2 linked regions of the Drosophila melanogaster genome follow. Each later gene encodes a partner of the first gene's protein in a complex. Each region holds a gene or a part of one and is shown on either strand. Other genes may lie near its edges. The genes, in order: PolD2 and PolD3.

What was found.
Region 2: PolD2 (region 1) and PolD3 share a complex: the UniProt entries of both Drosophila melanogaster proteins name them as parts of the DNA polymerase zeta complex.

Annotation. Positions count from the first base shown.
Region 1 is NT_037436.4:1,773,858-1,777,721, forward strand, and holds PolD2 (DNA polymerase delta subunit 2), read left to right. Parts: upstream 1-1,775; 5' UTR 1,776-1,823; coding exon 1,824-3,119; 3' UTR 3,120-3,162; downstream 3,163-3,864. Other genes in the region: CG13933 (uncharacterized protein), read right to left, coding at 1-53, 124-934; CG2021 (uncharacterized protein), read right to left, coding at 3,186-3,473; mRpL46 (mitochondrial ribosomal protein L46), read left to right, coding at 3,659-3,864. UniProt on the Drosophila melanogaster protein: Accessory component of both the DNA polymerase delta complex and possibly the DNA polymerase zeta complex. As a component of the delta complex, participates in high fidelity genome replication, including lagging strand synthesis, DNA recombination and repair.
Region 2 is NT_033779.5:15,254,240-15,258,523, forward strand, and holds PolD3 (DNA polymerase delta subunit 3), read right to left. Parts: upstream 2,066-4,284; 5' UTR 2,025-2,065; coding exon 729-2,024; 3' UTR 580-728; downstream 1-579. Other genes in the region: Uxt prefoldin-like subunit, read left to right, coding at 2,412-2,458, 2,510-2,951; yuri gagarin, read right to left, coding at 3,174-3,347, 3,560-3,866, 3,934-4,202, 4,265-4,284. UniProt on the Drosophila melanogaster protein: Accessory component of the DNA polymerase delta complex and possibly the DNA polymerase zeta complex. As a component of the delta complex, participates in high fidelity genome replication, including lagging strand synthesis, DNA recombination and repair.

The sequences.
Region 1 (3,864 bases):
GATGCGAAGAGTGGCCAACGTGTCTTCAGCAGACTTACGAGCAGCAAAAATAACTGAAAATAATAGCCATGGTTATTACAACATCTGCATCAGAATCTCTCTCTTCAGGGAATACGAACTCACCCACATGCAGTAGGGTCATTTGTTGGGTGCAGGTGCGTACAGTTGTAATTGCACCCTGATGAATGAGTAGCTCAAGAAAGCGACCATCATGAAGCACGGCATGGTGAATCGGGTAATACTCGTCCATAATAAGATTGATTTCCTCCGAACGGGTGACCACTAGTTGCTGGACGCAATTCCAGGCGCCGCGTTCGCAGGCCAAGTGGAGCAGGGGCTTTTTCACGCGGAAGGGGATCCACGGCTCCTCCATTTTTTGGGTGAGCAAGCTTAGAACATTGTACTGATCTCCGTCGATTGCATAGAAGAGCGCGTTCTGTAGCTTTGTGTTTAGCCGCTCGCTGACATCGTCCACGTTGTTGTGCCATTTGCCGCTCTCCTCGCAATTTCTCGTGTGGGCGCCAGGAAAACACATCCGAGTGTCCACGTCGATACGTGCGCCATGCCGAAGCAATAACTCCACGCACTCCTCGTAGCCACGCAGGGTGGCGATGTGCAGGGGCAGGGAGCAGGGCGAGCGGTTAACGTCCGGGCGGTGGCGATGCAGCAGCCACTTAGTGAGATCGATGTGGTTGAGGCCGACGCTGCGCTGCAGGATGTTGTATCCATAGTCGTCATGCATGGCCAGGATATTCTCGTTCTTTGGGATCTGGATGAGCAGGCTCTCGAGGGTCTGCAGGGAAACCTTCGGATTGGCGCGCAGGATGTCAAACAGTGTCTGTATGGTCTCCTCGGTGGCCTTGGACAGCTTTCCGTCGCGATGCGAGAGGAGTGCGGATCCGGATCGGAACACCTGGCTCACGGAGCCGCCCATTGCTCTGGCTTCTCCCTTTACGGCCGTCTAACACTGCACAGTCATGCTAGTATCTCCTGCGACGCAGTTTCCGGGGAAGATCGCTAGACGGCGAAGTGCGTATCACTTCCGAAACCGTAAAAATCAATACGAGCCCTGAAGAACCGCCCAGATCAGCACTGAACGACGGCTGGAAGGAGAAAGGCTGCTCCGATGGCTTCAGTCACAGAATCCCACATCCCTGTGGCGCGTTTTCAGGCTAGATTCAGCGCATCCGGGCATTTCAAATTTACCACAATCAAAAAAAAACTTTGGGATTAAATAAAGTATATTATAGTATAGGGTTTCAGAGGCCCTATCGGCAATCGATATCAGTTGGTTGAACTTGGTATCGTTAGTCGATAGGAGGATATCAATTTTGTATAAAAGCGCGTTTATTTAAACTTAAAGTAAAATGCGTAAATGGGCATACATTTGCACCACCTTATTCAGGAGCAAAAAAGCAATGAACGCGATTTTTTTCCATAAAATAAGTTATAGGCTTTGCACATACTTTTCGATTTGTGCAATCCAGCTGTACCCAATGTTAAGGCTTATCGGCTATCGATTCGAATTGAATGTACAGTGAATACTGGAACTTAGTTACTATAAATGTCAATATTAAATATAAAAAATTATTAATAATAAAATATTAACAAAAAAAAATACTTCTTATTCAAAAGCGAATACTTCTTATGTTACCAAGCCAAAAAAACTTTGGTTTTCCTAAGAAATTTTCCCTAACATTACCAACGTGATTGAAGAAAAACTGTTTGCCTTAGCCTCTCCTCTCTGTAACAAATTGGCGCTCAAAAGTAAACGAGCGTCTTGGAATATAACTTAGTTTGCTCCTAAAAATATCGACGGAATCATGACCAACCGCCTGGAGACCAAATACGAGAACCTGAGCAGCATTTTCCGGCTAAAGGGACATGACTACCAAAAGCAGTTCTTCCATCTGTATGCCCACCGCCTGGCCGAGATGACGCGTCTCCTAACGCCGCTGGCCCAGAAGAAGTGGGGCAACAAGGAGCCCATCAAAAAACTGTGTGAGCTGCGGGGTGAACAGGACGTGCACTGCATCCTGATCGGCACCATTTTTAAGCACCAGGCTCACAAGCCCAGTATCCTCCGGGACATTTCTGAGGAGAATCAGTTAGCGCCACAGCCGCCAAGACAGAACTACTCGGATCCGGAGGACAAGATTGTTCTGGAGGATGAACTGCAGCGGGTTCGACTTCAGGGCAAGCTAAATGGACAGCTCTTAGCCACTGGAGTTGTGTGCGCTGCCCTCGGTGGAACAGACAGTGACGGATTTTTTAACGTGGAGGATATACTCTTCTACGAAAGTGGACCTCAGAAGCCACTGGCCCCCATTAAAAGAAGCCGCCTCCTGGTGCTGGCGTCTGGGTTGGACCAACTGCAGGCCCACAAATTTGTGGAGGCATTGAATCTCTTTCAGTACTGGCTGGCCGGCAGTCTTGGAAACAACAAGGAAGCGGGCTCCATGGTGCGTCTTATCGTGGCTGGAAACTCGGTGAGAGCCAGTGCCATGGCACATGTGCCCACCCTACAGGTGGCACGCACCCAGGCGAACGCAAATGACACAGTCCAGGCCGTTTCCCAGCTAGACCAGTGGTTTGCCTCATGGGCACGCAGTCTGCCCGTCGACATAATGCCGGGACCCTACGACCCGGCCAACTTTATGCTGCCCCAGCAGCCGTTCCACAAGTGCATGTTTCCCCAGGCTGCTCAACTGGCAACTTTCCAGGCGGTGACTAATCCGTACAGCTGCCGGCTGGATGAGGCCCTGGTGGTAGGCACATCTGGCCAGAATGTATCGGATCTGTTGCGCAGCACTTCGCTGGACTCGGCGCTGGAGGCCCTTCGCTGCACCCTCACCTGGGGACATGTTGCTCCCACTGCACCGGACACTCTAGCGTGCTACCCGTACATCGAAAGTGATCCCTTCATCCTGCGCGAGTGTCCGCACGTTTACTACGCCGGCAACTGCGAGTCGTTTGCGACCGAGCTGCACGAGGGTTCCGAAGGCAAGCGCACCCGCCTAGTCTGCGTGCCCAGTTTTAGCAAAACACAGAGTGTGGCCGTCGTTGACCTGGATACGCTGGATTGCCGCATGGTCAACTTTAGCGTAGATGCAGAATAAGAAACTTCATTAATACAAATAATACACCCTGTTAAGTCTTGAGAATCACTGGTTTTATTCGCTATCCTAGTGCACCACGGGACCCAGCGGCTCGCCCCTAATGTTGGCCAAATCCAGGCGGGAGTCGATGGTCTCGTCTATCAGTCCGATCACCGCGATGTTGTCCCCCCGGATGATGTGCAGTCCCAGCACGATTTGCTCGATGCCGGAGGTGGTAGAGAAGACGCGCTCATGGCACTCGTCTATGATGATATTGATGGTCTGGTCGAATCCCTTGAGTGTCCCGATGAAGTTCCGTCCGTCTGCCGTAATGATGGAGACTGTGTGATTGATATACGACTCCAGACCGGACATTTTAGCAGTCTTTCCTTGATAACTTCTCCAAACAGAACAAAATAAATACTAATTGTGGCAAGAGGCTAGCGACGCGCTCTCCGATAACGATAACTGTGCCGCAAATCAGCTGTTCCGGCTCTGGTGCTCATGTAATCGGTGGTCAACATTCTATTTTCCGAAAAAATTAAATTAAACTGATTAAAATGCTGCGTCGCATTGTCCAAGTGGGTGCCCGGGAGTTGAGCCGAGCCCAATCGTCAACCGCCAGCGCGGAAAAGTGGGACCTGTACGCCGGAGTGCTCGTAGAGCGTCTCCCTGTGGTGTCCAAGTCCCTTAATCCGCTGGAAAAACAGTTCCAAGACTTGCTATGGCGCGTGGAGTACGAAAACAGCCTGAAGTCTGACCATGA
Region 2 (4,284 bases), on another chromosome or scaffold:
AATTGTTTTATCCACCACAGAGAAAAAATCCCTTACTCAATCACTTACATACATATTATGTATTTGCTTGCCATCGGGCAGCCTGACTGTAAGCTTTTAATGCTTAAAAATCAGATAGGAATCAAACGCAATCACTGCAGAAACAGAAAAGCAAAAACCAAAAACCAAAAACCAAAAATTAAAAATGAAAAACGAAAAACCAACAAGACAACAAATGAACAATTTAAATTAACGAATATTCGAATTATATGAACAAACAAGTGTTTTTTCAAACCTCGCCTTAATTTTTTAAAGTGTTTTGAAATACGATAACGATAGCGGAGATAACGAGTTTCGATCTCGAATCGAAATCGAAAACAACAAATACAAAACCAAAAACAAAAACACGCACTGATAAAGCATAGGCCAGGCAAAATTCACACCGACACGCCCACACACACACACACACACACACAATCAGACACGCGAATCTATATAAATAAAGAAATACAAATTACAAACAAGATACTCAAACAACTTCTAGCAGCTATAAACAAATGCAATAAATTCTTTTTAACAACAAACGCAAACTGTTTTTTTCATATGGGCTGATGGCTATTTTTTTGTAAACCCATCATAAAATATATATTATTTTCAATAATCATAAATAAATTTATTAAAAACATTAACTGTTTCCATGCTTAACAATTAACCCTTACTTTAGCAACATCTCCATGCTTTGCTTTCATTTACTTCTTGGAAAAAAAGTTCATAATGCCAGCTTGTTTGGTTTTCGGCGCATCCTTTCCAGCTTTCGCGGCTGAAGGCGGTGACTTCTTTTTGTTGACGGGAGCAGCAGCCTTTGGGGAAACCTTTTTGTTGGCAGGCTGGGCTTTTGTTGGTTTACGCTGCGTAATGACGAAGCCATCTTCATCCAGATAGGTTTCATTGGCCGGTTCCGTATCCATTTTCTCATCCAATGCGATGGTCTCTTCATCGGCGGACTTCTTGGGCGGCTGCTCCTCGTCCTCAGAGTCGCTGATTCGTCGCCGCTTGGAGGACGAGGCCTTTTCCTGATCGGAGTCGTTGTCCGACTCGATCACCTTCCGCCGCAGCATGTCCAGCTTTTCCTCCTCGTCGGACGATTCGGCACTCTCCTCGTCGAACAGTTGCATGGAAGTGTTTGCCGTTGTTGGCTTTTTGGTGGGACTGGGGGATTTCTTTTTCGAGGCTTCCTTTTTGTTTGAATTGGAAGCATCTTTCTTCGATTTATCTTCGGATTCCGGTGGCGACTTCTTGGCGCCTGCCGGTTGCTTCTTAAAGAAGTTGTCCACGGTGCCGGACGTCGATTTGCTGGGCGTGGCTTTGACATCCTTTGGCTTGCTGGCCGCCGCTGTGAAGAAGCTATTAATGCTACCCTTTTTGGCTGCTGCAGGCTTGGCTTTAGAGGCCTGTTCCTTGGGCGAGGTCTTCTTATCCTCCGGAGAGGACTTGCTGGCCACTGGCTTTTCCGCCTTCGACTTTGCTGGCTCTGATTTAAGTGAAGATTTTGAAGGCTCCAACTTAACCGCAGACTTTGATGGCTCCGATTTAGTGGGTTCAGATTTGACTCCATTGTGGGGAGTCGTCCCATTTGCACTGGGCACTATCTTTCCCGCTCCAGGACGCTGCTCCACTTTTGCCAACTTCACCTCCAAATGCTGCATGGGCTTGAAAATCGCAGCCGGCGCTTTGGTGCCACCGGCTATTTTCACACTATACAGCTGAGACTCCGCATCCTGGACTTTGGCCAGCCAATCCTGCATCCTGCTCTCCAGCACCACAGAGTACAGATCTTCGCCGGAATCGGATCCTTGCGTTTTACGCTTGCCATGGACTAGAAATCTCTTCTCGAATTTTGTGGCAGGTTCCTGCTCTTTGATGTAGGCCTCCAGCACATCGTTCACCTCCTTGTAGGACAGTTTGTACTCCTCCAGAAGATCGGTGACCAGCACACAGCGATCGAAATCGATCATGCAATCGTCGAGAGCCTTTTTAAGCGACATTTCGACAATTTGTTTAGTTAAAATTGCGCGAAATCGTATTGCGGGCGTGCCAACTTATGTGACTAAAAAAAGTGCTAAAACTCACCAGCAAAATAATGAATACTGAATTCGAAAATTTGTGACTTTGCTATGCATATTGTCAATGTAGAAAAAGGCGTATTTATTAAAGTTAATTAATTAATTATTATATATATTTAGTTGCTTTTTTTTGCTTGAATTATGAGCTTATTAATAGACTTTACATTTAGCTTAAATATAGCTAAATTGAAACAACTGCTATCTATCGATAACATCTACTTGCCGCTATTGCAAAGATAAGAAGAAGAAACGAGAAGTAAACAAACCAGATATCCTAATAAATTTTGATTTCTTTTTAATGCCCAAACAATGCAAGTAAATCCAAAACACAACACAGAAGCTCACAGACAAGCCGAGTAAGTGATAAAAATACAAGTGAATGCAGCAAGTGTAAGACCCAATTACAGGCAGGATGCCAACAAGGCGCGAATCACCCAAATTGAGGAGTTCATCAACGAGGTGCTGAAAGAGGATCTCAGAGAGCTGGAAAAGTGCATCGGGCAGTACAACGAGGAGATCATGGAGTACGTCCAGCTGAAGAACACCCTCCAGACCTTCGACACCCACCTACCAGATGGCTACAAAACGCAAGTCAACATCGGCAGCAACGTATTCATGCAGGCTCGCGTTCGGAAAATGGATAGCATTCTGGTCGATGTGGGCAAGAATGTGTTCCTCGATATGAGCATTCCAGATGCGGAACGCTTCTGCGACACACGCGTAAAGATCTTGACCAAGCAATCCGATGTCCTGCGCGACGAAAGCGTCAAGAAAAGGGCTCAAATCAAAATGGCCCTCATAGCAATCAGCGAAAGAACCAAACTTATTCAACAGGATGAAAGCAAATAGCTTCGCTGCGTCCACAGAAGCTGAAAGCATCTGTATCCTTGTTCGTATCAGTAGTGATCACATTATTACCAAGATTACACAAGCACTTAGTTTTTATTTTATACCACAATTTACAAAGACAATTTACAAGTTACGCGCCTCCAAAGTGTTGATGGCATAGAGATTTTGGGTGAGAACGATTTTTAAATGGAAGGAGGAGTTGCATGCAAATCCTGGCGACTCCTACGACTGATCCTGTGACGATCGAGTACGCCGCAATATGGATTGGGCCACCGGTTGCCCAATTCCAGCCGGACTTCCTGAGATCAAGGAGTTGCAGTACTGATCGTTCATAGTCTGATTCTGGTTAAAAATCCGCTGCGAGGTGCTGGTCAAGTTCTGCAATCGCCTGGCCATCTGCGGAAGTCACCAATAGACACCAGTTAGACAATAAAGTTAGAAAGTATTATTTTAATTCCAGCTGCCCGTTTAAGAAGTCCAATGGTTATCCAATTCGTCAAAATTTGGAACAGGCTTGTTGAAAATTAAGGAAAAATTCAAGTTTTACATGGTTTGGTGGCATTTTGGCATATAAAGATTTGTGAAAAATTTGTATATTTCCAACTCACATCGTTCCCCGCCTCGGGATTGGTCAGACCGCCACTCTTCGGAGGTGGACAACTTATCGCCGAACTGGACGCGCAGTTGACCGCCTGCTTCACTCGTTTTATCTCCGTCTCCAAGAGCTTGTAGTCTCGGAATAGATTGCGATAGTCCTCGGCCAACGTCCGGTTTTCGTCCAGCAGCATGTGGATGTGTTCCTCGGCCCGCTTGGCGCAAAGACGCATCGCCTCATCGGCCCTAACCTGGGCGTCCTTCCATTTTCGAAAGGAGTCGATAATCTGTTCCTGCTGCTGGTTAACTTCGGTCTGTTGACTGGCGGGAAGAGAGAACATGGCAGCTGCTCTTATATGGATGCACTCTATCCTGGAAAATTACCTACTTTAGGCGGATCTGCATTTGCTGGCAATTTTCCGAAATGGTGCGCAACTCCTCCCGCAGAGATTCAGTTGTCTCGTTCATCCGCTGGATACTTTCGCGATGCCGGATGTCATCCAGCTGCAGATGGCTCTGCATTTTCCGAACAAGAGTGCGCATCTTTTCCATCTCCAACTGGGCACTCTTTTGTTGATCTTGAAGTGCCCGCTCTCGGCCCGAGGACACAGCCTCCTTCTCCTTCAAAGCGACCACCTCCTCTCGCAAGATTTTGCGCTGAAATTCATAATACCTCAGTTTTCTTTGTGCCCAAGGACGACAATAGTCGGATACGCCACCTCTGTTCTCAGCTCATCCT